Linked DNA regions of Ovis aries. The protein of the gene in region 1 interacts with the protein of each later gene in a pairwise test. Links are inferred from orthologs where the notes say so. Each region holds a gene or a part of one and is shown in the gene's direction. Other genes may lie near its edges.

Region 1 (4,132 bases):
CTGCAAATACCGTTTCTTAGCCTAGAATAGTTTTCTCCTAATTTTGACAATCTGACAAGATTTGTCTAAATATTCCCTCTTCCCTGGGGCCCCACTCTGACTGCTAAGTACTCCCCATAACACTTAGTTTTAACCCCCAGCAATTACCATTATTTCCTTAGCTTTCAATTGCAAGTCCTTATTCTTATTTCTTATTCCTTACAGGAACTCACCTCTCTGGGAAGCTTGTCGAAAAGATGCTACAAAATGAAGACATTTGGCAAACTTGAGACCAGGTGAGGAGGCCGAGAAGAAACCAACACAGCTCCTCCTGGTACGGTGCACCAGAGCCCGGGAAGGGACCCCAAGTATCTTTTGGGAACCATCCTTTCCCCATGGCAGGTCTTTGGGCTCAACCAACCTCTTGATGAAAGTGAAAGAGGAGAGTGAAAAAGTTGGCTTAAAGCTCAACATTCAGAAAACAAAGATCATGGCATCCAGTCCCATCAGTTCATGGCAAATAGATGGAGAAACAGTGGAAACAGTGTCAGACTTTATTTTTGGGGGCTCCAAAATCACTGCATGGTTACTGCAACCATGATATTAAAAGACGCTTACTCCTTGGAAGAAAAGTTATGACTAACCTAGACAGCATATTAAAAAGCAGAGACATTACTTTGCCAACAAAGGTCCGTCTAGTCAAGGCTATGGTTTTTCCAGTAGTCATATATGGATGTGAGAGTTGGACTACAAAGAGAGCTGAGCGCAGAATTGATGCTTTTGAACTGTGATGTTGGAGAAGACTCTTGAGAGTCCCTTGGACCGCAAGGAGATCCAACCAGTCCATTCTAAAGGAGATCAGTCCTGGGTGTTCATTGAAAGGACTGATGTTGAAGCTGAAACTCCAATACTTTGGCCCCCTGATGGGAAGGGAAGAGCTGACTCATTGAAACGAGCCTGATGCTGGGAAAGATTGAAGGCGAGAGAAGGGGACGACAGAGGATGAGATGGTTGGATGGCATCACAGACTCAATGGACATGAGTTTGAGTAAACTCCGGGAGTTGGTGATGGACAGGGAGGCCTGGCGTGCTGCAGTCCATGGGGTTGCAAAGAGTCGGACACGACTGAGCGACTGAACTGAACTAAAATAAACCTAAGATTCCGGCGCAGGCTTGCCAGGGAAGCGGTCCTGGCCCCGCACTCCGCTGACTGCGGCACTGGCGCCCCCGCCTGGCGCTGGAGGCTGCGCGCGGCGGCCCACCACCGAGCCGGCGGCGGCTAGAGAGGCCGGCTGGCCCCGGGCGCCGTCGCGGCGCGCCCGCAGGGAACGCGCGCGGGGCGGGCCCCACGCCACTGATCTTGTAGCCATTTTAGGAGGAAACCCGGCTCGCTAGCCCGGGGCGAGGCTTCAATTTCGATAACTTTATTGGTGGCTTTATCCGCAGAACAGCCATCTCACCATTGATCCCGGGAGGAGGGAGAGCATCGCGGGAGGTGATTGGGGTGGGGGCGCCCCTGGACCGTGAGCGCGGGGGATGCGGGGGAGTTCCCGAAAGGGGGTTTCTTGAGCAGCGGGCCTCTAGAGGGTTTGGGGGTTCCGGGTGTTCTTGGAGGCCAGGGAGGAAGAGGTCCCCCAGGCACGGCTTCCCTGGGGCGGGGATTCCCTCGCCCGGTTCCCCAGACGCAGGGGCGGGGCCGGGGGCTCCCCTGACAAGACTGCCGGGGTGTCCCTTGCCCCATGCTGTTCCCCACGGCAGGTGGCCCCCGACTCGAGCTGCACAGCCATGGGAAACACCAGCGATCGAGTGGCCGGGGAGCGCCACGGCGCCAAGGCTGCGCGCGCCGAGGGCGCCGGCGGCCATGCTCCGGGTAAGGAACATAAGATCATGGTGGGGAGCACCGACGACCCCAGCGTCTTCAGCCTGCCGGACTCCAAGGTGAGTGTCCCCACGCCCCTAGTTGGTGGCGGTCCTGCAGCAGGCTGGGTGTCAGGGCTCTTCCTCCCTCTTTTGTTTTTTCCTTACCACACTGACCCGAATTAAGGCTTTTAGAATTAAAGGTTTTTTTCTGGGGACGGAGATACTGGGTGGTAATTCTTTTTGCGGTGCTGCCTCAAAATAGGCTAGAGGCGGAGTTCCTGTTACTGGACTCCTGTGTTTGCCACATTTTTAGGATGAGGCCAACACCCCCCCCCCTCCGCCCCCCTCCACCCTTGGTTCTCCTGGATGCCTCTTCTAGAGTATTGATGAATTTGTAGGTTGTGAAAAACTTCAGACTGTAGGTTACCTGAGTTGCTGACCACAGGCGGCAGTTTCTCACATTTGCCCTAAGGTAGGTAAGTGACTTTTCCCTGAACACTTCTACTTCTTTGTATTAGTCTCATTTTTGCCCTTCTAAGAGATCAGCACTTCAGATCCTCTTCCTCTTTGGCATGACTGTGAGCAGCAACCCCTTGCTTATATGAATACTTTTTCCTAGTCCTGGGGATCAATAAAGGACATTATTTGGTTGACTGCTTAGTTTTCATCTCATACTTTATAGTTATGGCTGAGGTGCTTTTTTTCATGTCCAGCTACTTCTTAAGTGGGAGAGCAAATAAGTTGAGGATTTCTTCACTTCCTGGTAGTACTTCATAATATTACCAAACTGAAAAAGGACCACCCACAGTTTCCCTGAAGACCTGGCTGTCAGTCTAGGACTTTCAGGAAAGTGGCAACTTGTGTTCACCCTACAGAAAAGATAGATGGAGCTGACAGCAATAAAATTACATCCAAATGTTTCTAATCACTTTTAGAGCTGTCTGCATTAAATACAGTAATTCCACCTGGTAGTCTGACTGGGATGAAGTAGAAAAATGGAGGGATTGAGGAGATTGGGGTGTGTTTGATGTTATCACTCATCCCTTGCCACACATCTGAGGTTTTATTTTATTTACTCTTGTAAATGTGTGTGTGTGTGTGTGTGTTAGTCATTCAGTCGTCTCCGACTCTTTGCAACCCCATATCCATGGGATTCTCCAGACAAGAATACTGAAGTGGGTTGCCATTCCCTTTCCAGGGGATTTTCCCGATCCAGGGATTGAACCTGGGTCTTCTGAATTGCAGGCAGATGCCTTACCGTCTGAACGACCAGGGTAAATAGAGAGTAATTTTGCTGGGTTGGTAACACATGAAATGTGGATTCTGTTTATTTTCTTGGATCCCAATTGAAAACATAATCACAAAGAGAAGTGAAGGTGATTTCTTGGGGTTTCTTCTCTGTTCCTTTCTTGCTTCTTCCACTTCAGGACTTCTTCCTCAACTCTTGGGCTATCTCCCCAGCCATCTGAATTTACTTCTTCAAAGCTTTCTCAAGGTGATTGTATTTTTATCCATTTCCTACACTGATGACTCAGGATTTAAGTACTGTGTACTTGTCAAACTGTGGCTGCAGTAATCGGTGTCCTGAATAAAAGTCAGGTTGCTCTATCTGAAATGGAGCCTATTTTGGATCATTCTTTCCCTTACCTCAGTCTTGCCATTTGTGAACTAAGATTGGTTCAAATAATTCCCAAGGTCATTTCCAAATCTGAGAGTTTACAGTTGCTCAGTCTATTCTATTTCTTTCCTCAGTGTTTCACTTAAACAGTTTTCAATTGTAATTCTAGTTGTTTTGCCTCTTTTCCTGATGATTTTGCTGACTATTTAACTTGGAGTAAACAATCTCTCTCCTTGTCAGCTGCACTGATGCCTACCACAGAAATGTCATATCATACGTGGAAGGGCTTTCTTCCAAAGCTAGGCATATTAATAGTTTGTAGCTTTCAAATTCTAAAATAATAAAGCATACAAGTAAATGATAGAAACAGTGGCAGAAGGGCCTATATTGCTTCAAATGCCACCCTTCAGTGGACTAGTTCAGTGGTTTTCAATCCTATTTGCACATTAGACTTACTGGGATTTATTTAAACACTTCATGGAAAATCTGAAACATTTTCCATGTTTCAAAGTCAGGAGAGCAGTGTAATGAATCCTATATAACTGTCATCCAGTTTAAACAATGATCAAATCATGAATGAATTCATATCATCTATACCCCAATCCACTCTACCCCCACCAATTATTTTTAAGCAAATCCCAGACCATCATATCAAATATTACTTTACCTATAAGC
Region 2 (4,286 bases), on another chromosome or scaffold:
AGTAAAACTCTCTCTAAACCTAGGTGTTTTCTTTCCTCACCTTCTGTATCCATACCTTCGGCAAGCAAGTGAGCTTAACCTCAGCCTCAAAACATACCCCGAATTCTCTGAATGAAATTCATTCATCACTATCACTCTAGTCAAGCCACTCTCACCCCTTACCTGGTCTACAAATAGCAGACTCCTAGCTGATCTCCCTGTTTGTTCCACTTGCTCCTGTTTCTCTCAAACCCCAATCCATTCTCCACAGTCAGAAAGATCTTTTAGAAACACAATTCAGATCATGTCATGCCCCAATTTACTTAATGACACCATCAACAGCCATCAACAGCAGCTTTCTAGGTATTTAGAATTAGCCCAAACTACTTTACATGGGCTAGCACCTGCGATCCTCTTAGACTTCATCTACTTTAGGCTAACTGGCTTTCTCTCTTTTCTGGATTTTCACAAACTTATTTCCATCCTAGTGCCGGTGGATTCTTCTGTCTGAATGTTTACCTAGCTGGCTCCTTACTGTCATTTGAACTTCACCTTGAATGGGGCTTCTTTTGAAATGAAAAGCCACTAATTTGTGTCACTAATGACTAATCCGTCATTTCTTATCACAGTTCCCCGCCCCCCCCCTTTATTTTTATTTATTTGTCTGCACAGGGTCTTAATTGCAGCATGTGGGATCTTAGTATCCTGACCAGGGATTGAACCCCCGCCCTCTGCATTGGGAACAAAGAGTACTCTGCCTTGGACCACCCAGAAGTCCCTTGTAACATTGCTTTTTTTGTTGCACTTAATATTATCTAACATTTACTGGTTTATGTTTGTTTCTTCCCAACTGAATTTTAAGCTTGTGAACTCAGAGACCTTATCTATTGTGTTCATCACTCTTATCTTCCAAGATGGAGCAATAACTAAAACATATAGTATATGCTTAATAAATATTTGTTGAACAAATAAATGCTTTGATTGTGATAACGATAACAGCTAAACCTCAGAGGACTTGGCCACAAATTCTAACAATTTTTCAAGGAATAAGAATCGCAGTTCCGAAGTTAGATCCTGGAAGACTACAGAAACCTTACAATAAAATATCTGGGGCTAAAGTTTGGAGGGGGATATATTACAACTTTGGCCTTTTTTCCCTACCCAAGGACTCCGGAGATCTTGCAAAAGGGAGACCTAGAATCTTTTAACCATAAATTCCAGCCCAGCCACAACGCTTTTCCATCCACGATTCTTTGCAGCCACTATTACTAGATTGCAAACGCGCAAACACCTCTAGGACCCCGGGTTCCTTTCTGTTTCTTTATGAATGAACCGGGTCTAGTGTGCGCATGCGCAACTCCTTTTTCTCCCGCTCCACGTGAGGCCCGCCCTTCCCTCCTGCTAACGGCTCCGCCCCTATCCTTTCTAATGGACCAATGGCGAGCGGCCTGGGGGGCGGAGCCCTGAGCGGCGCGGCAGTGTAGTTCCCCGGTCGCCCGGCTCCCTCGCCTTAGTCTTGCTGTGTTGTGATCACGTGGCCAGCTCCGGGCGCGGCGCTTGTTTTGGTTTCCCTCTAGCTTGCCCCTGGCAGCTTCAGAGTGAGCGACTTTCCTGTGCCGGTTGCCACACCTGACTGCACTGCGACTTTCTCTTCTTGGGGCTCTCTCAGCTCCAAGTTCTGCAAGCCCCTCGGGGCCGGCTCCTGCCATGCCGTTAGTTCGCTACAGGAAGGTGGTCATCCTCGGATACCGTTCTGTAGGTGAGTCTCCCTCTAGGGCAGAGCACCGATGCACCGCGGCTTTGTGGCCAGAGGAGGCGCACTGCCGCGGGAAGGCGACCCAGGGAGAAATGGTGGCATCCTTAGAACCAGCTTGTAGAGCGAGGACTGAAAGGTTGGAGTGGGAAAGGCTGGGGTGGTGGTAGTGTTCAAGGCGGCAGGAAGCTGGAGCATGGAAGAGTATACATGGGCTTACTGCTTGAACACCACAGTGGTCCTCAGCGTTCGTTACTCTGGGGGGGTGGAGATGGGGGCAGGATTTGGTGGCGGGGGCGCGGTCTGGGTGGGGCAAGTCTCAGGTGTCGGATGCAAGGCTGACTAAATCCTGGGGAATCCGGATCTTCCCAGGAGTTGGGTGGGGAAAGACTGCAGGAAAAGCTTCCTGCGTCGCTACTGTATGCATCCGGTGGCCAAGGTGCAGAGACCTGGGGCGAAAAGAGGGTGAAGGAGTCTATGGGAAAGCATTGCATGGGGCATTCACAGGCTAGGATGCTAATTCGGGGTTTCCTTTAGTCCAGGGCCACAGCCCGAAAGGACAGAGGAAATGAATGTGGATGGGTGATTTGGCTACAATTACCTCTGCTTCCCACAGGGAAGACATCTTTAGCACATCAATTTGTGGAGGGAGAGTTCCTGGAAGACTATGATCCTACTGTGGAGAATAGTGAGTAAATTTCTCCTCTTGGGGTGGGGTAGGGAGGGCTTAGGTGCCCCACCCAAGGCCACACTTTGGGATTTTCCGGGTGCCAAAGGGATGATTTAATTAGATATTAAATCGAGTCTCTTCTCTATCAATCCTGTTCTGTGAGTGGAGCTAGAGTGTGCATTTTCCAAGATACTGAGTCCAGGATAGTGCATGTGTAGACAATAAGAAGCCTAACATTGTATCTTAAGTTTCCTGGAGAGCTCCTTGAACCTGGCCCATCTATGTTAATATATAGGGGCACAGATTGCTCGCCGTACAAGGCACCTCACAGTCAAGTTTTCTTTTCTTTTCAGCTTACAGCAAGATAGTGACTGTTGGCAAAGATGAGTTTCACCTACACCTGGTGGACACAGCAGGGCAGGTACCAGTTTGGGGTAGGGTGTCTAAATGTGGCAGTTCAGTCCTGGGAGATGAAGTCTGGTAGCCTCTGAGGCTCATCTGTAAAGCAGTATTAAAAGCATTTTAGCAGTATTTCAGTGTGCAGTGTTGTTTGGAGCTACTCTATAAATACTTGTTGGATAGAAGTGACCGGAGTAGGGAGTGCCACAGGGAGGGTCCCCAGGATGCAGCCCACCAAACTTGGCCATCTGAGTCTTGTGAATCAAGGTATTGATATTTCTGTTTCTTGTCAGGATGAGTACAGCATTCTGCCCTATTCATTCATCATTGGGGTCCATGGTTATGTACTTGTGTATTCTGTCACCTCTCTGCATAGGTAAGTGACCGAGGTTGAGAGTGGTGGACTTGGGAAGACCTGAGGGCTATCCCAGAATAAAATTGTAAGATTCTTTTCTTGTGTTTAAAGCTTCCAAGTCATTGAGAGTCTGTACCAAAAGCTACATGAAGGCCACGGGAAAACCCGGTACGTGGCACAGGGGATAAAGACATAGTGTGGACACCACGGAAGACGGAGGGCAGAGGGGAGTATTGATCCAAATTAAGGAGGAAGCCGGAACATCGATCCTATCTGGTTTGATGGGGAGTTGTCCAGCTATGATGTGAAGGAGGTTGGGGTCCATGGGGAACAGAGGGGATTCTGTTGTAACTGCTGTCTCCTCCCAGGCTGCCGGTGGTGCTGGTGGGAAACAAGGCCGATCTCTCTCCAGACAGGTATGGAAATCTCTGTAGCTTAAGGCAAAGGAAAGTGTCTAGGAGTGAGTCAGGCTCTTGTCCTGGCTCTGCCACTGATTTAAACCAGTTGTTTTACCTCTTCGTTTCTAACTTGAAGGTTGAGACAAAATGATCCTTCTATCTCAAAAGCTATAATTTCATATTTCAAGCCTCAGTCCTAGGTTCCTTTGTTTTCTTGTATTTTCTTCTTCCACAGACGTTCTCCCAAACCTTGGAATGAGATGAGTCAGAGGAAGTCTAGTTTCTGTAAAGATTTTTCAGAGAGCATGGGGCCCATTGCTATTTTTCATTTTCATGTCCTGAATTTGCTTCTAGGGAGGTCCAGGCTGTTGAGGGGAAGAAGCTGGCAGCATCCTGGGGTGCAACATTTATGGAGTCATCTGCTCGGAATAATCAGGTATTGGGCCTGAAGAGTAGGAGGGTGGTGGGGGCAGCAGTGTTTTTCTTTTTATGCCACTGCTTGGTGGTGGGGATGGTGGGGGAGTGGGGCATTCACCTAAGAGTTGGGTAGTATTGGCAGTGAACTCAACCAATTTTTTTTTTTGCCCTGAATCCTTATCCCTTGCAGCTGACTCAAGGCATCTTCACCAAAGTGATCCAGGAGATTGCCCGGGTGGAAAATTCATATGGGCAAGAGCGCCGCTGCCATCTCATGTGAGCCTGGAGATGAGCCCTTGAGCAAGGGGCAGCTGC
Region 3 (4,278 bases), on another chromosome or scaffold:
CCTGGCCAGAGAACTAGATCCCAACATGCCGTAACTAAGACTTGGCACAGCCAAAAAACAGGAACAAAGCAGGATCTGTGACCAACCTGCTGCTGCTGCTGCTAAGTCACTTCAGTCGTGTCCAACTCTGTGCGACCCCATAGACGACAGCCCACCAGGCTCCTCCGTCCATGGGATTTTCCAGGCAAGAGTCCTGGAGTGAGTTGCCTTCTCCGTATGACCAACCTAAACAGCATATTAAAAAGCGGAGATATTACTTTGGCAACAAAGGTTCATCTAGTCAAAGCTATGGTTTTTCCAGTGGTAGTGTATGGATGTGAGAGCTGGACCATAAAGAAAGCTGAGCGCCGAAGAATTGTTGCTTTTGAACTGTGGTGTTGGAGAAGATTCTTGAGAGTCCCTTGGACTGCAAGGAGATCAAACCAGTCCATCCTAAAGGAACTTTAGGAACTGCGTGGCCCTAGGCGGGAGAAATGAATGGGAGAAGGCCTTCACTCACCTGCGGCATGGGGAGACTTGATACCATTGTGTGTGTGTGTGTGTGTGTCTTGTGCCTGTGTCTCTGTGTGTGTCTGTGTGTATGTGTGTGTATGGACTGCTTCAGTTCTCCTACCCCTGTGGGCCACAGGACTACAGTTCCCAGGGGCCCCTGCTCCAGGCTGGTGGCCCCTAGCCAAAGCTGGCCTGTAATCTGACCATCCCTCTTGAAAGGTCAGTTCAGAACTCCTTGAGAGACAGCAACAGGGGGAGCTCAGAGTGGCTGGACTTTGGTGGGGGATGGGGTGGGGGCAGTGGCCCTGCCTCAGGCGACCTCTCCTGGAACTGAGAATCCCGGTCCCCCTTTTTTCAGATGCCCAGGGTCCTCCGCTAGCTTCACCTTTTCTGTTCTGGGCACCCTGATGCTCTGCGCAGGTGACCTTCAGCCACAGCATATGTCCTCCCCACCAAAGGGCAGGGCCACCATAGCAGCTTGACCAGAGAGCATCCTGCCCGTGGTGTGCAGCCTGTTGTGTGAAAGTCGAGAACCGAAGCCAAGCTGCTCTGCTGGAGGCTGGGCCTCCTGACACCTGTCCTCCTCGACAGCCTCCTTGGCCTCTCCAAGGAGCCCTGATTGAGGGCCCACAGTCAGGCCCCATCCTTCATCCATAATCCGAATTCAGGGCAGCCTCAGCCAAAGTCACAGCCCAGCCGCTCCAATCAAATCTCAGGCCTCTCAAGCCAGCACTCTGCCTGCTGCTTCCTGACTCCGACCCTGCACAAGGCAGGCCCCAGTGCCCGTGCACGAGGCCTGGAGGAAGTGGGTCAGTGCAGGGCTGCGAAGGAGCCAGGCCGGCCCTGGCCCTGCCCTATCCCTCCTCTCCTCCACTCACCCCAAAATAGCTCCCTGAGGAGCCGGGCCAAGACCCTCCCATCGAGGGAAGGGGTGGGGCAAGCTGCCTGGAGCCAGGCTTTAAAGCACCAGCCGGCTGGGGATCTCCACTCCCTGGCTGGAGGCACCACTCAGGCCGCCCGTCTGCACAGTCAGTCCGGCCCACCCTCCCTCAGCCATGTCCCGGCCCCTGACAGACCAGGAGAAGAGAAAGCAGATCAGCGTGCGTGGCCTGGCCGGTGTGGAGAATGTGACCGAGCTGAAGAAGAATTTCAACCGGCACCTACACTTCACCCTTGTGAAAGACCGCAATGTGGCCACCCCACGAGACTACTACTTCGCACTGGCCTACACGGTGCGCGACCACCTCGTGGGCCGCTGGATCCGCACGCAGCAGCACTACTATGAGAAGGACCCCAAGGTGCCGCTTGGGGCACCCCGGGTGGGCAGTGGGCTGGGGGGCCCTGCCTGGGGCCTGGGAGATCTTGAGCGAATGACAGGCCCTTTCTGGGGTCAGGACTTTCTGCAGCAAAAGAAAGGGTGCCTCCGGGTTCCTGAGGTTGGATGAAAGGGGTGCCAGGTGCAATGGGTGCTGGAACCACCCAGGGGGAGAAACCTGGAGTCGGGGGCAAGTCAGGGGCCTCGGGTCCGGTAGGCTGGTTGCAAAGGCTCAGCGCTCAGTCAGAGAATGGAGAGGCTGCTGGGGGGTGGGCAGGAAGACCCCGCGGCCTGGGTTGGATCCTAAGTGGAAGGATGTTCTACTGAACGCGTGTGTGGTGTGCCGGTGTGCCGGGTGAGGCGCATCTGGGGTGGCGATATCAAGTATCTGCTGGGGTCACTGGTAAAGGTCAGCAACCTGACACTGCTGGGCAGGGGTGGGGGAGGGGAGGGGCGGGAACCCAGGAAACCAGGAGACTGGGCACCACACCGTCAGCATCCTGGATACAGCAGTCTCTCTCTCCAACCCCCTTCTTGGGACTGAGGCTTGAGGGCCAAGGGGAGCTGGGCACTGCAAGGGAGGGAGATGGCTGACTCTAGCCCTGAGTCATTGTGTGACCTTGAGCCAATGACTTCTCTCTCTGGGCCTGGCCTCCCCTTTTCGGGAGCTCTTGGTGGTGCTTCCCTGTGTCCTGACTTCCTGATGGGCTCTTGGCAGGACTGCGCGCGAAGGAAGGGGTTCCCAGCTCTCCTAAGCACCTCAACCCCCTGAGGTGGATATGGCCCCATTTTTCAGATGAAGAAACTGAGGCTCAGAGAAGAAAAGTGAATTGTCCAAAGTCAGAAGAAATGCTGGGACCAGTATCTTACCTGCTGGGTCCCAAAGCCTGAGAAGGCAGGAAAACTGGAGGCAGGGCTGGAACCCGCTGGGGCCTAGGAGTGGGGCAGGAGGTATGAGAGGTGCAGGCCCAGCCGGGCCTGGCTGAATGTCAGGGGGCGGCCTTGACCCTCCCTCCCCTCCCCCTCCCCGTCTATTTCTCCGGACAGAGGATCTACTACCTGTCTCTGGAATTCTACATCGGCCGGACGCTGCAGAACACCATGGTGAACCTGGCGCTGGAGAATGCCTGTGACGAGGCCACCTATCAGGTGCGTAGGGGTGGGCACGCCTTCAGGACTGGAGGGCTGACCTGCTGGCCCTTGGCCCTGACTTCTGCTATACCCTCCCACCTCTAGCTGGGTCTGGACATGGAGGAGCTGGAGGAAATCGAGGAGGACGCAGGGCTGGGCAACGGGGGCCTGGGCCGGCTGGCGGGTAAGTGAGCGGGGCGCCAGGGCACTGGGCAGAAGTGTTCCTTTATGTTGGGTCTCTGATATCCACCTCCTTGCACACCCCTAGCCTGCTTTCTGGACTCAATGGCAACACTGGGCCTGGCTGCCTATGGCTATGGGATCCGCTATGAGTTTGGGATTTTTAACCAGAAGATCTCTGGGGGTTGGCAGGTGAGTAACCTTGGGCCCTGACCTTGTGGTTATGATGAAGATGGCTATTTGTTCATTCATCTGCACATAGATCCAGAAGCAGCCCCAGCAGCCTGGGTGGAGAGCATCTTTGCCCCTTCCCCCTGGCCCCAAGCCAGCTGTCAGCTCCTGGGACAAGAGGTCCACGGCTGTGGAATGTCTCAGACTCTTATGCACACACCGAGCCCCCTTGGATCTTCCACCAGACTGGGGGCCCACCTACCGCAGAGCCGGTCATTCACGCCCTCCCTCTATAGGGCACACCAGGGCTGCGGGCTCCTGCTACACCCACCACCTGCTGTGGTGTGAGCCTAGCTCTGACTCTGCCTTCCTTTCTCCCGTGACCCACCTGCGGCTCAGATGGAGGAGGCTGATGACTGGCTTCGCTACGGCAACCCCTGGGAGAAGGCCCGCCCTGAGTTCACCCTGCCGGTGCACTTCTATGGCCGAGTGGAACACACCAGCCAGGGGGCCAAGTGGGTAGACACACAGGTGAGGGGGAAGCCAGGGAGCAGGGGGAAGATCTAGTGAGGTGGAGGGGAGGACTGGAGGTTCTGGAGGAAACAGGGAGAAGCAAAGAAAGAGCCTGGAAGCTACTGGACAGAGTGCAGTTTTATATCGGAGGCCACTGAGCTCAGAGGAGTTAAGTGACTTACTTGAGGTCACACAGGTGGAACCCAGAGAGGCTGGAGACAGGGTCACAGGGGAGCCAGACCACGTGAGGAGCTGGGAGGAGGAGAGACACTGCCCTGCTCTACCACTGCTCCTCGCCGCCCAAAATAATCAGAGTCTCGGCTCCCCTGCATATTTGAGCTGGGGGCTTGATGGGAAATAAACCAACAGCCCAAAAAGGGGGATAGGAGAGAAAACTAAAGCCTAGGATGGGCAACTGACATGTTCAAGGTCATAGAGCAGGTTGGTGGGAGCCTGCCACTAAACCGGGTGTCCAA
Region 4 (3,500 bases), on another chromosome or scaffold:
CAAGAATTCCTTCTCCCAACACAGAATCTCTTGAGCATCTCTTCGGAAGAAATAATAGAGCCGTCCCAGGTTGAAGTAGTCCCATTGTCAGCCTCTGCCCCCTTGGGAAAAAAGGATTCCCTTAACTGCATCGCATCAATAAGGAATACTCTGTGTGGCTCTTCAGAACTAAAGAAGGACAAGAGTGGTCTGAACAGTGAAAATATTAGTTTTAAACCATTTAATTCCACATTTACCAAAGAAGCAGGCCTGTCTGTGAATAGAGAGGAGGTCAGCCTCAAGGTATCAGAGGAGGATTCCAACCTTGACCTCACTCTCACCCTATCACCACCCATGAGTCTTAGGGAAGAAGCGCCCACTGGTGAAGTGGAGCAACCGCAGGAGGCCTCGCTTCCCTGCGTAGACCTTCAGGAGATGGCAGAGGAAATACTCATGTCCAAAGAGGTTACTTTCACAGAAAACAGAGACGTGAACTCTGCTGCTAACACGTCTGTGAAACCAGCAGAAAACAAGGAGGGAAAAGGTGATCATTTACAGACAGTGGCTTTCATACTTTCTAAAGAAACATGTACCCGGCAGGTTGCGGAGGAAGTTCACCTTGCCTCTGACTTCCCATTCGGTTCCTTGATTGAAGAAGTGTCACCCGCTTCCAGCCCTGGCCCCCAGGCACCAGTGGAAGAAGCACCACCAACTCAGGCCACATCTCCACGTGGTCTGAAACACCGTGACACACTTGGTGAGAAAAGCACCAGGCTCTGTGAGGTCGAATCAGGAGATTTGGCCGAAACAGAAAAGGAAAGTTCTCTTGTTACTGCCACCCATCCAGTGGAACAAGATAACTCAGCTCAGGTACAGCAGATGCAGCTTTCTGCTGAAACACCTCTACAATTACAGAACCACGCAGGAAGAAAAGGTAGATTCTTAATCCTTCCTGGTGACGTCACTGAGGAAACTGGCCCAAGTAAATGTGGGGAGGGCTTCTCTCTCTCAGGAAAGGGGCCAGATTTCGATGCCACAGTAACCCAGCCTGCCTGCGGTGTCACGTACGGAGATTCTCTTGAAAACCTGGTATCATCAGGATACCCACTGCAGCCCACGGGTGTGGAGATCTGCAGCCCCCACTCACATCATCGTGTCCTGGAGACCAGTGAGCCTTTCAGTCCTGCAGAGATCCCTGAAAACAAGTCTTCTGCTGACATGTTTGTTTCTACAGCCACACCAGGTGCTGTGGTGACCAGCACTCAGAGCCTTCCTGAAGATGTTTTGAGCAGTAATGTGAAAACACAGGAATGCTGTTACATCCTGGTTAAGTCCTTGCGCTCCGACCCAGTTGCTGGAGCTGAGGGTGTGCAGACCCACGGGCACCCAGAGCTCCCCAAGCCTGCACTCCCCTCAGGCGGGGCTACCACAGCAAACAGCACAGGCCCCAGCGACACAGGGACAGGGTTCCCGACACAGGAAGTCCCGGTTGTCAGAATGACCCACCTGCTCAACAGTGAGGATAGTGGAGCCGAGTTACAGGGAAGAGCCGCGGATCCAGGAGGTGCTGGCCCCCAGCTGCTCACCACCTCTCCACAAGGCAGACAGGAGTCAGCCTGTCTGCTGCAGGAGGGGTCACCGTGTGCAGTATGGGATCTGCTCCATGGCGGACTTCTCCCCACGTACCTGCAGGCTGATGCTCACCCAGGTACTGCAGCCCACGGCGAGAGTGCCAGTCCAGAGCCCTCTGTGTCCGTTGCTCCCCGATCTGGTGCACCTCCTGTTGGTGGGGTCTCTGAAGAGCAGCTGCAAGGTGTGAGTACGGGCGAAGCAGGCACAGGTGGAGGCAAGGGTGTGGGCGTGATCTCTGACATCTACTATGAACCCCTTTCTGGAGACTCAGATCAGGACTCTGTGGGTGAGTATGGACACCCCAGATACAACACAGAAGAGTCCCGTGCTTCACAATATGGCCACACCGGGAAAAGAGAAGGTGCATCCAAAGACAGTTATGATGCTTTCCTGAGCCTGAACACCAGTGATGACCATGACTGGGGCTACGCGAGCCAGGTTCCAGGGCTGGAGACCAGCGTTCCTCCCAGAAGTTGGCTGGGTGGACTGAAGAAGGAAGCTACGTGTGTGCCCTGTTACGTCCAAATCCGAGATGTCTGTGGGGTCCCCAGGAGCTACGCCAACTTCACCGTGACCAGAGAGCTCAGAGACACACCAAGAACCCTGCACGGCTTGAGGCGGCGCCCCAGCAGCACGGTCCCGTGTGGCTTGCTCAGCTCCTGGGTGGACACCTGGCAGGGAACAGATGACCTCACCCAGAACACTTTAGACCTGGAGCACCTGCGTTTTGCACACAAACTGAAACAAATTGTGAAGATGGGAGCCGCTCGGCATTCTGCCCTTTTGCCTGGTGCCTTTCCAAAGGAGCCTCCACCCCAGGTCACCACCGGGGCTTTTCCTGGGACCCCAATGCCCACATGCCCGGGGCTGCCTCCCACCTCCCGAAGCAGGAGTCCTCTTGTGGTGACAGTCGTGCATCAGATGCCCAACCATGTGGACCGCTCCTCCTCCTGGAAGAAGGGGTGTGGCCATGGTAGAAATCACCTCACAAACTCAGACCAGAATCAGACCGCCTCCTTCCACCTCCACAAGCTGAAATACAACAGTACATTGAAAGACTCACGCAACGACATTGCTGTCATTCTCAGTGAGTATGCCGAGTTCAACAAGGTGATGCTGAGCAGCCGCCAGTTGGTCCAGGACACGGAGCCACCTGTGGCTTTGGGAGCGGCCATGCCCAGTGAACTGTGTGTCTGCAGCCCACAGCCCGCCTCCTACGAGGACCTGGTGGCCGACCTGTGCTCCAGCCTGCGCGTCAAGCTGGAGCGAGTGGTGAGGGAGGCGTGTTCCAGCACCTTCCTCTTCCACCTCGTAGAGACTGAAGACAAGTCCTTCTTTGTAAGAACAAAGGTAAGGTGCCAGATTTTTCCTTCAGTTTTTATTACTTTGATTGCAGGTCCAAGTTTTTGGGTTTTTTTTTTAGTAATACAGCATTCTCAGCTTCAGAAAGCAGCCACGATGTGGTATTATACCTTCTCAGCTCAGTCTTTCCCTGTCCCCAGTGCCACTACAGAGCAGGGTAAGGTCCTATGTGCCTGCCTCCTGGGGGTCCTCCCCGTGTCGCCCTGGTCACTGAGCACCTCCAGGCCTGAGGCTCCCCAAAGGGTAGAGAGTAGAGAGGGCCTCCCAAAGTGTAGTGGTCACCATCGGGTCAAAGGATCATACAGCAGCACTGAGACGACCACCCTAGGCCCCTGGAAGGCGCTGAGGAGTGCTTCTGAAAGAGCAGCCGTGCTTTAGAGAGCATTTCTCCACCGCCCGGAGGGTGGCTAAGGGAGGAAGGGCAGCCTCATGAAGCTCCCCAGGTGGCTGAGCCAGAGACGGTCTCCTGGGAGACGCTGATGGCTCCAATTTCGTATCATTTAAATATGATTTCTAAGTATTTATTT
Region 5 (3,500 bases), on another chromosome or scaffold:
GGAAACCAGGAGGGATCAGAAAGGGAGTGAAAGGGAGTGTTTCCATCTTCCTTGAGGATGAGCTGGAGTAAAACCCAACAGGGAATTTTTGCATCTCCCAATCCTAATACCAGCATGAAAACAGATGGCTGCAATAAATAAGCAAAATAACAGAATTTAGCATTACTGCCTGTTTAACTTTTCCAGGCAATTTTGAAATTTTCATTGACAAGTTCTACTAAGTACACTATCAGTGTTTTGTTGTTGTTTTACAGCAAATATATTTTTCAGTGTGAACAAGTGAATAAGTGTGAACAAGTCATCACATACTCTACTTAACTGCCTTTCTTCTGTCTCTTAATTGTGTCCACATCTTTGCCACCCCATGGACTGTGGCCCGCCAGGCTCCTCTGCCCATGGAATTTCCACGGAAGAATACTGGAGTGGAGTGGCTTTTATCCTATGTATAAAATGGAAAAGACCTTCTGTTGACATAGATACCGTTTTCCAACTGTTTCCCAATTGCATAAGAACATAGAAAAGAAACGTAAGAGAGTGAGTTTCAGGGCTTGATCTCTTTTAGGCCCAAGTGTGGGCTTCCCAGGTGGCTCAGTGGTAAAGATCCACCTGACCGTGCAGGAGACTTGGGCGCTATCCTTGGGTCGGGAAGATCCCCGGGAGTCGGAAATGGAAACCCACTCCAATACTCTTGCCTGGAAAATTCCATGGACAGAGAAGCCTTTCAGGTTACAGTCCAGGGGGTTGCAAAGAATTGGACATGACTAAGCATACAGCACATATATATATATACTTAGGCATATACATTGTGTGTGTGTATAAAACTTGTTTTATAGTTAACAGACATTTGTAGGAAGAGTTGGTCAGTGGTCATAAAGGACTCATTGTCACTTGAGCAAGATGGTATTACAATTGCTTTTTTTCCTGGCGTATTGTTTTTGTGGTCTAAATCTGGTTCTTTATTTTCAGGGCTACGAGGGTTCTCTTATAAAGCTCACATCTAAGCAGGTAAGCATTTCAAACTTGCACATAAGTGATGACTTATAGAATAAATTTTGATTGACTTTCTTCAGGAATGTCACAAGGGCTCAACATCCTTTTTTTTTAAATTTCCATTAAGATTTATTTTTTTATTTTTTTGCTCTAAAATTAAGGGTGAGATCAGTTAAGAATTAGCAGAGGAAAATGATTCCTAATTCCAAAGCCTCCAGCTAGAGTGTCTGAGACTATCCTCAAGGAAGGCAAATATAATGCCTCCAGCATGGTTATATTGGGATTGATCTGTATCTTCAAAAGAAATTATTGTCTAGATTCACTTTTACTGCCAATTTTTTTTTAAAAATACAGTTAAATAGTCAGACTTTTCATTCACAGTCAGTATGAGAAGTTGATGGTAAAGAATCAGGCTCTGTCTCAAACCCTTAATAACCACATGCAGAGTCTTAAGTCTAGAATGGCGCATAAAAGGCACAGGTGCAGAATGGAGGTAGTAATCAGTGACCCTGATAGCGGCTTCAAGGGCCTTGAAATGTTTTGGCTGTGCTTTTTTTTAATCCTGAGCAACCGGCATCTCACTTTGGGTCACTTTTCGTCTCAATACAGTATTCTCTGGTTCATCAGGAATAGGCTGTGTTGCAACTATCCTTCTGGACTCAAAGATACTGAGTCCAAAGCAATTAGGAGTCCTCTCTTGAGTTGGAACAGTATGGTTTACACACCTAATTAAACACAGAACTTTTTAAAAACATCCCTTGGGATTTGAGATTAAAATGTTCATTATATAATTTTGATCGTGCAGTGAGACTACAGGGCTTTTATCACTGTGTCATTATATTCCTTGCACTTACAGTGTACCAAAAGGTGATTCGGTTCTCTTTGCATTTTAAACGATGAAGATGCTGAGGTACAGTGAGTTCGATGTAGGACAGTAGAGTCCCTCCACCCAAGTTTCCCTCTGTTCCCTGGTTCACTGCTGCTCACCTTCCAGCCCCTTCTAGACTTAATTTTTTTAATGATTCTCTAAATCTCCAGCTGTCCCTTGAAGAACCACCCTCACCATCCCTTTGATCCATGTTAGAAATTTGGCTAAGCCACTGAGTCATGATTCTTCTGGACTGGCTTTCTGATTTCTGCCCATTGCCTGCGGTCATTTCTTTATCTGAGCTCTTTGGTTTGATGTCATCTTTGACCCAGAAACAGAGACATCCCCTGATATTTTTTTCTTCATATTTCTCTTTCTTTCCTTAGCCCGTAGGTTTTGTCAGTTTTGACAGTCGCTCAGAAGCAGAAGCTGCCAAGAATGCTTTGAATGTAAGTACGAATGATGTTCATCTTCGGGGGTTTCCTTATGAGGTAAAGGGAAAGTAATAGAACCTCTTTGGACAGGAAAGCAAATGGAAGGGATATGACTACTTGATCTAAGAGGAACCGACTCTAGTTAGCCGCATAAAGAGATTTTGCCTAAAATTGTGGTTAGATGTGCAGACTATTAAATAACACTTTGCTCGTCTCTAGCCCTTACTGTAATGCTCAAGATACCTGATGCTGGGGATTTTATTTTAATTCAGCCCAATCATATCCCATGGTGGTGTGCAGTTTACTTCAGCCCCCATTATATCCTCAGTGGCTAAGCCCAAGTCAAGAATAGAGAAAGATCTTGGCTTTCCTTAACACAGGAGGCTTTTAAGTTGTTTGGCTTTTAAGGGCTTCCCTGTCTGTCCAGTGGTGCAGACTCTGTTCCCAACGCAGCAGGCACAAGTTCCATCCCTAGTCAGGGCTGCCTAAAAGTGTATTGTTTAAAAGGTATGTGACTTTAAAAAAAAGTTGTAGTCTTTATTCTGATTGATTTAAAATTTGCATATACTACTTCCCCAGAAGACATTCAGCATTGTGGTGTATAATAAAGGATTTCCTTCTCCAGTGCATGAAAGTGAAAAATGAAAGTGAAGTTGCTCAGTCATGTCCAACTCCTAGCGACCCCATGGACTGCAGCGTACCAGGCTCCTCCGTCCATGGGATTTGCTAGGCAAGAGTACTAGAGTGGGTTGCCATTGCCTTCTCCGATAATAAAGGATAGGCAACTACAATTGAGTAGAGATAACCTGTATTTGGTTTGAAAGCATTTTGTTTCCCATATTTTTAAGACTTTTTACCAGCTTTAATTTAGTAAGATTTTTTTCCCTCCCTTTGGTATGTTTTTTTTAAACAAAAACCAAAAGCAATTTAAGGGGAATCAACCCGGGACAAGGTGGTAGGAAGCAGAATTTAGTTCTGGGCGCCAAGGCCTGATCCAGGTGAGGCGTCTCAGTGAAGAGCCTGGCTCCATCCCTCTCCAGACAGTTGACTTAAGCGGCTATGAATGAGGTGTGAGTACAGCTGCCAGGAGTGTTGGAATACTTCTTGGAGGGTCGGCTTATGTGAACTTGTGGCTGTGGGTCCTGAAGGTGTTCTCCCAGCTGTTTCTCGGCGCCTGGAGGCCCAGGGACCCTGTGGTGAGGGGGGCT
Region 6 (3,500 bases), on another chromosome or scaffold:
CTCAGTAGGACTTTCGCAGACTTGAAAGGGCATCTAAGCTCTACGTAGGTCAGGGTGACGGGTGGATTCCAGGTGGCAGTGCAGCATGAGCGAGGCCTGGCTGCAGGCATGTGTGCAGTCAGTGTGGGGGTGAATGGAGTGATAGAGTGGGGGAGAATCTGAGGCGGTGGGTGTCCCAAGTCAGGACTGGCGAATGGAGGGAAGGGTGAACTTTCCTACTCTGTATAGAGTTCCTTTTATACCTGACACGGCCCCGTGGTTTCTGTGACTATGCTGACAGATGAGGATTTCAAGACCCCTAATTAGCATCCTCTGGAGGGGCAGGTTTGCTTGTCCTGAATTCAAGTTCTCAGGAGGATGAGTCTACAATTTGAGGCAGTGACACTAAAGTAATTTTAACCTACATTCCAGGAGTACTTCCTTAGTTGGTTAGTTGAAATATTGTCTGATTTTCACTCTTGTTTCTAAAGGTGCCCCCTTAGGATTACTGTGCCACCCTCTTTTCTCACACAAGAGGGGGAGAAGCCTCAGTGGTGGTCACCTTTTTTGTCATGGTTTGACTTGGGGTTTGTAGATTAATGAGGAATTTTAACAGGGTACAGTACAACGTTAGGGGACAGACGCCCTAACTTTCATGTGAAAAACTGATTCAGAAGAGTGCCATGCAAGTTACATTGGGAAAAGACTAAACTGGGCATAACTTTAGGAAGGGAGGAAGAAAGGAACCTGAAATGGAAGGTCTCTGTTGAGATTTCCAGTCTTGGAAATTAGAAAAAAAAAATTTCCTGTAGCTCTATAACCTAATAAATTTGTTGATTGTGGGGAAGTGATTTTGTCCAAGGTGGTTGAGGCATGGCATATTTCCTGTTCTAGAGTACTGCTTTCTGAGAGTGTGAGTACTTTGCTGTACTCATGAGATAGAGAGCCTCGAGCATGTCCCAGGATCCTCACAGTAATCAGTGACCAAGTGGGGAATGGAATACAGATTTGGTGTAAGCTGTTAACTTTCTTGCTACTCTGTTACCTGCTGAGAATGCTTTAAATTCCTATTAAGTTTCCTTTTGACTGCTTCCGGACATAAGTACTGATTTTATTATCTTGGGTCATCTTTTAGTGGGTATTTTGTCCCTAATATTGATGGGTACTTTTTCCTGTCACAATTGCCTTCCGCAGAGCTTGGAGGACTCCTGAAGTATGTGCGACCCTTCTTGAATTCCATCAGCAAGGCTAAAGCTGCTCGTCTGGTCCGATCTCTTCTTGATCTGTTTCTTGATATGGAAGCAGCTACAGGACAGGAGGTAAGCTACTTGAATGACAAAAGAGACAAAGTCTAGTTTGGAGCAAAGTCTTGTTTCAGTGAAGGAAGTGCCTGCCTGCACTGCGGTGGTAATGTGTAAGGGACGGCTGGGAGGACAGCGCAGGACTTATCATGTCAGTTTCTCTTTGTTGCAGGGCATTTGATACTTTGGGTCTGTTCCATGCTTTGCTTTGTAAGTGGAGATTGTCAGTGGTCCCTGGAATCCTCATTACATCAGGGTCACAAACTGATTCTTGTCTTTGAGGTATTGTATTGCTACACCTTTGTAATGTTTTCTGTGTCTGTGGTACCTCTGTGTCACAGAGCTCCTAGTGAGCACTAATTAAGTCTCGTGGCATCCCTTCCTGGCATGTCTTGTATGCATTTATGCCTTTATTGACTGAGCATCCATCTGTCTGTCTCGTGTGTCCTGAAGTGACTGGTATACCTGTCCATGTCCTCTACGAGTTCAGACTAGACCCTGAGCTGTACCGAAAAGTGTTTCTTTGGAATCGCTGAGCCTCTTCCAGTTCTTTGCAAAGAATTACTGTTTGCAATTCCGGAGAAGGAGACGCTACCACAGTTAAAACTCATTCTGTAAAAAGTGGTAGATTCAAGCAGGGTGTGTGGTGGTTGCTTGAACCTGTTTGTAGGAAGAATACAGTTGTTGTCTTTTCTGTATTGCTCAGCAGTCATTGAATGCGTGCTGTGTTAGCACTGTTACAGTGCTAGGGATTCATTTGTAACGTACAGTGCTCTCATGGGGATTATATTTTAATGAGGAAGGCAGATAATGAACAAATATGTAAAATGTCAAGTGGTATAAAGGCAGGGGTAGGAATTGGTAGGTAGTTACATGTCTCATTATTTGCCATGGCGCCTGTGGATGTAAAAGATGTGAAGGGGCTTAGTGGCATATTGAATAAACAGTGGGGAACTTCAGAAACCTAGCACTTAAATGGATCTTACTTTGAAATCATGTCGTTTGTAAAATCTGGTTTCTTTCCTTAATGATTCTTTGAAGCCTAGTTTAAACACCATAAACTAACTTCATTGTAGAAAATTTATTTCTAGAGAAGTCTTCAAGTTCATTTGTTTTTCACAGAACTGTTTCATGATAGTAGATCAAAAATAGATGTGTAGATGGCTGCCTTTTGAACCAAAGCATTAGACTTATTTTTATGAATAATTTAAAAGAAAAGGTGGTGTTTCAAAGAGGTGTTACTCTTGTGTAACCCTGACTTTTAAAAAAAAAAAATTGTATTTGTACTCATGAAAAAGTGATGCCACATTTTTTGTTTGAATTAGGACTCCTTAGAATGAGTTGAACAATAAATGTTAGCTTGAAACAGACTAATAAATGTTACTTGGAACATTTTAGGCAGAAAAAATTAATTATCCAAGCTGCTTCTTTGACTGAACTCTTGGAATTTGTCTCTTCCTGTAACTGCGCTGGCTCAGTGGATAGGACTACATTTGTTTGATGGTCAGTTCTCCTCCTCCTGTATCCACATTATCCAAATCATAATTTGGTGCTCTCCTGTAATTGGCTTGTGGGATTTACTGGCCTTTGTCTTGTGGCTCCATGTCTGGTTAGGCCCTCCTTTTAACTGTGTGTGTACATTGTTATCCTTCATTGTACATTATTTTCTTGTCAACTAGAGGCTTGTCTTACCCTAGGGTGAAAGGGAGCACTCTTACAGATTGTGCCTTTTTATTGTCAGTGTCGTGTTAGTGCTGAGTAAGACCTGTTGATCTTTTTTGTTTGTTTGTTTTTATTGATTAGTAGTCTAGCTTTTTATCAAGAGCCAGAGTCTTACTCCACTTAGCAGGTCTTTCAGTAATTTTTGTGGATTACAGGTTATTTGCTTGGTTTGGAGTAAATTATGAACCATCCAGATGGTTCTGTCTGCACCTCAAAGTCAACATAGCAACGTCAGCACCCAACTATTTATTAAATTCTGTCAGTGCAACTCTCTCCAATCTATTCTCCACCTCTTTTTGTATCTGTTCTCTATGTACAACTGCCATCGAGTTTGGGTTCTAATTATTTCTTCTTTTTTTTTTGGAGGTATTGTTCATGTACAGTGAGTTCTAATTATTTCTTAGACTACTGCAAAAGTCTTGTACCACCATTTTGAGAGATATCCTACCCAGTAACCCTCTCAACATCTTATTCCTCTCTGTTCCCCCCTGACTTGAG
Region 7 (2,291 bases), on another chromosome or scaffold:
GTCAAGTGCGACATGGAGGTGAGCTGCCCAGACGACTACACTTGCTGCCGCCTACAGTCCGGGGCCTGGGGCTGCTGCCCTTTTGTGCAGGTACCGAGGAATGGGGAGTGGACTGCGCTGAGCAGAGGGCAGCCGCCAGCCAGTCCCCTCAGGCCCACTGTCCCCTCTCCCGCCACCCTAGGCCGTGTGCTGTGAGGACCACGTGCACTGCTGCCCGTCCGGGTTTAGGTGTGACACAGAGAAGGGTGTGTGTCAACAGGGGACCCGCCGGGTGCCGTGGATGGAGAAAGCCCCAGCCCACGTCAGCCTGCCGGACCCCGGAGCCGTGGAGGGGGATGTCCCCTGTGATAACGTCACCAGCTGTCCTTCCTCCACTACCTGCTGTCGACTCACGTCTGGGGAGTGGGGCTGCTGTCCTGCCCCAGAGGTGCCTGGGGAGGAGGATGATTTAGGGGAGGGGGGCAGTGTCCTGGCCTGGGCACATGGCCAGGCTCCTGTTGCCTTGCTCTTCTGCCTTCTGCCCAGCCCACGGGGGACCCCAGCTCAGTCACAGTCATGCCCAGCTCGAGGAGCCGAGCAGGAGAGGCAGGCTGGGGGCTGCAGGGGCTCAGCGCTCTGGCCCAGAGTAGCTGCCTAAACCACCCTTTTCTGCCACCTCCCCAGGCTGTCTGCTGCTTGGACCACCAGCACTGCTGCCCGAAGGGCTATGCGTGTGTGGCTGGAGGGCACTGTAAGAGGGGGAAGCAGGTGGTGACCGGACTGGACAAGGTGCCTGCCCGCAGGGCCTCCCCGTCCCACCCCAGAGACATGGGCTGTGACCAGCACACCAGCTGCCCGGTGGGGCAGACCTGCTGCCCGAGTCTGAGGGGGGCCTGGGCCTGCTGTCAGTTGCCACACGTGAGTACCCACCTGCCCAGTCCTGGTCAGGGCGGGGCCCCGTCTCAGGTGGGAGGGGACGTTAGTGGGGGTGAGAGTGCGAGGCCCTTTTGTGTTCCATAGGCCGTGTGCTGTGAGGACCGCCAGCACTGCTGCCCGGCTGGCTATACCTGCAATGTGAAGGCCCGATCCTGTGAGAAGGAGGTGGACCCTGCACACCCTGCCCTCCGCCTGGCCAGCGGCCCTCTTGTGGGCGCGGGGAACGTGGAATGTGGGGCGGGGCACTTCTGCCACGATAACCAGACCTGCTGCCCAGACAGCCAAGGGGGCTGGGCCTGCTGCCCCTACCGCCAGGTCAGTGCCACCCCCCAACCCAGGGGCTGGGTAAAGGCCTGGGCCAGGTCCTGCCACGTCCAACTCTCGCCCCCTACTCTGACCATCAAGGGCACCTGTTGTGGGGACAGGCGTCACTGCTGTCCCAGTGGCTTCCGCTGCGGAGCCAAGGGGACCAAGTGCTTCCATCGGGAGGCCCTGCGCTGGGACGCTCCTTGGAGGGACCCGACACCAAGACAGCTGCTGTGAGGAGGGCCTGAGGACTGAAGACACTTGGCGGCCCTCAGGACCCTGCTCAGAGGGTCCCCACTGCTCAGGCCTCCCCAGCACCTCTCCCCCACCACATTCTCCCAGACCCCCTTCTGAGTCCCCCATCACCCTGGGAGGTGGGGCCTCAATCTAAGGCCTCCCCTATGCCAAGGTGAGGGGGGCTGTGGCAAAAGCCACGTTTCAAGCTGCCATCCCCTCCCCCAATTTCTGTCAACCCTGTGGCCAGGTGCTCTTCCTATCCACAGGTGTGTGTGCGTGTGTGTGTGAGCGCGTGCGTATGTGTGCTGCAATAAAGTTTGTACACTTTCTTAACAGTGTCTGATTTGGCCACTCTGCCTGCCCTCCCCAGGGGCCCCTGAGCCAGGGTCCCCATCCAGTGGCCACATTCCCCAACCCCCACAGAAAGACACACAGCAGCTCATCTCACCAGTTTTATATTTGCTGTTGCCCACAGTGATCCCATCACATTACTCCCTAGTCCCCGGAGCCGCCCCAGCCTCCAGCCCTGTGACATCGCAGCCCAGAGGTGGGCTAGTCAGCAAGCAGCACCCCCTACCCTCCCAGGGGTCCGCTAGAACGCCCCCTCCCTTCCCGGCCCTCAGGCTAGCAGCTGAGGCCTCGTTGCCCCTCCTGCTTTCCCACGATAGAGCTTTCTATGTACAGCCACGTTTATACAGGCACTGCTTCCCCCCACCCTGCCCTCCTCCCCAGCACCTCCCATCGAGGTTCTGGTCCCCCCTCCCTCACCTCCCTCTCGGAGGCAGACACGGGTCCCTCCCAAGACATTACCCAGCACATACCACCGGACAGCT

Evidence for each region.
Region 2: the proteins of PRKAB2 (region 1) and RHEBL1 interact in binary tests that used the Homo sapiens proteins (3 or more experiments, as listed by UniProt). The link is inferred for Ovis aries from reciprocal best matches to the Homo sapiens genes PRKAB2 and RHEBL1.
Region 3: the proteins of PRKAB2 (region 1) and PYGM interact in binary tests that used the Homo sapiens proteins (3 or more experiments, as listed by UniProt). The link is inferred for Ovis aries from reciprocal best matches to the Homo sapiens genes PRKAB2 and PYGM.
Region 4: the proteins of PRKAB2 (region 1) and TASOR2 interact in binary tests that used the Homo sapiens proteins (3 or more experiments, as listed by UniProt). The link is inferred for Ovis aries from reciprocal best matches to the Homo sapiens genes PRKAB2 and TASOR2.
Region 5: the proteins of PRKAB2 (region 1) and RBPMS interact in binary tests that used the Homo sapiens proteins (3 or more experiments, as listed by UniProt). The link is inferred for Ovis aries from reciprocal best matches to the Homo sapiens genes PRKAB2 and RBPMS.
Region 6: the proteins of PRKAB2 (region 1) and PSMD11 interact in binary tests that used the Homo sapiens proteins (3 or more experiments, as listed by UniProt). The link is inferred for Ovis aries from reciprocal best matches to the Homo sapiens genes PRKAB2 and PSMD11.
Region 7: the proteins of PRKAB2 (region 1) and GRN interact in binary tests that used the Homo sapiens proteins (3 or more experiments, as listed by UniProt). The link is inferred for Ovis aries from reciprocal best matches to the Homo sapiens genes PRKAB2 and GRN.

What each region holds. Positions count from the first base shown.
Region 1 is NC_056054.1:98,151,187-98,155,318, reverse strand, and holds the start of PRKAB2 (5'-AMP-activated protein kinase subunit beta-2), read left to right. Parts: upstream 1-1,332; 5' UTR 1,333-1,474; intron 1,475-1,677; exon of another isoform or gene 1,678-1,737; 5' UTR 1,738-1,764; coding exon 1,765-1,917; exon of another isoform or gene 1,918-3,454; intron 3,455-4,132. UniProt on the Homo sapiens protein: Non-catalytic subunit of AMP-activated protein kinase (AMPK), an energy sensor protein kinase that plays a key role in regulating cellular energy metabolism.
Region 2 is NC_056056.1:137,161,685-137,165,970, forward strand, and holds the start of RHEBL1 (GTPase RhebL1), read left to right. Parts: upstream 1-1,486; 5' UTR 1,487-1,686; coding exon 1,687-1,738; intron 1,739-2,348; coding exon 2,349-2,420; intron 2,421-2,755; coding exon 2,756-2,823; intron 2,824-3,094; coding exon 3,095-3,177; intron 3,178-3,267; coding exon 3,268-3,324; intron 3,325-3,524; coding exon 3,525-3,572; intron 3,573-3,908; coding exon 3,909-3,990; intron 3,991-4,161; coding exon 4,162-4,251; 3' UTR 4,252-4,286.
Region 3 is NC_056074.1:39,445,366-39,449,643, reverse strand, and holds the start of PYGM (glycogen phosphorylase, muscle form), read left to right. Parts: upstream 1-1,478; 5' UTR 1,479-1,547; coding exon 1,548-1,790; intron 1,791-2,854; coding exon 2,855-2,956; intron 2,957-3,043; coding exon 3,044-3,122; intron 3,123-3,206; coding exon 3,207-3,310; intron 3,311-3,688; coding exon 3,689-3,820; intron 3,821-4,278. UniProt on the Homo sapiens protein: Allosteric enzyme that catalyzes the rate-limiting step in glycogen catabolism, the phosphorolytic cleavage of glycogen to produce glucose-1-phosphate, and plays a central role in maintaining cellular and organismal glucose homeostasis.
Region 4 is NC_056066.1:42,517,827-42,521,326, reverse strand, and holds part of TASOR2 (protein TASOR 2), read left to right. Parts: coding exon 1-2,961; intron 2,962-3,500.
Region 5 is NC_056079.1:25,712,936-25,716,435, forward strand, and holds part of RBPMS (RNA-binding protein with multiple splicing), read left to right. Parts: intron 1-966; coding exon 967-1,005; intron 1,006-2,244; coding exon 2,245-2,307; intron 2,308-3,500.
Region 6 is NC_056064.1:17,480,655-17,484,154, reverse strand, and holds part of PSMD11 (26S proteasome non-ATPase regulatory subunit 11), read left to right. Parts: intron 1-1,173; coding exon 1,174-1,298; intron 1,299-3,500.
Region 7 is NC_056064.1:43,892,553-43,894,843, forward strand, and holds the end of GRN (progranulin), read left to right. Parts: coding exon 1-90; intron 91-181; coding exon 182-427; intron 428-663; coding exon 664-897; intron 898-999; coding exon 1,000-1,230; intron 1,231-1,320; coding exon 1,321-1,458; 3' UTR 1,459-1,791; downstream 1,792-2,291. UniProt on the Homo sapiens protein: Secreted protein that acts as a key regulator of lysosomal function and as a growth factor involved in inflammation, wound healing and cell proliferation. Regulates protein trafficking to lysosomes, and also the activity of lysosomal enzymes.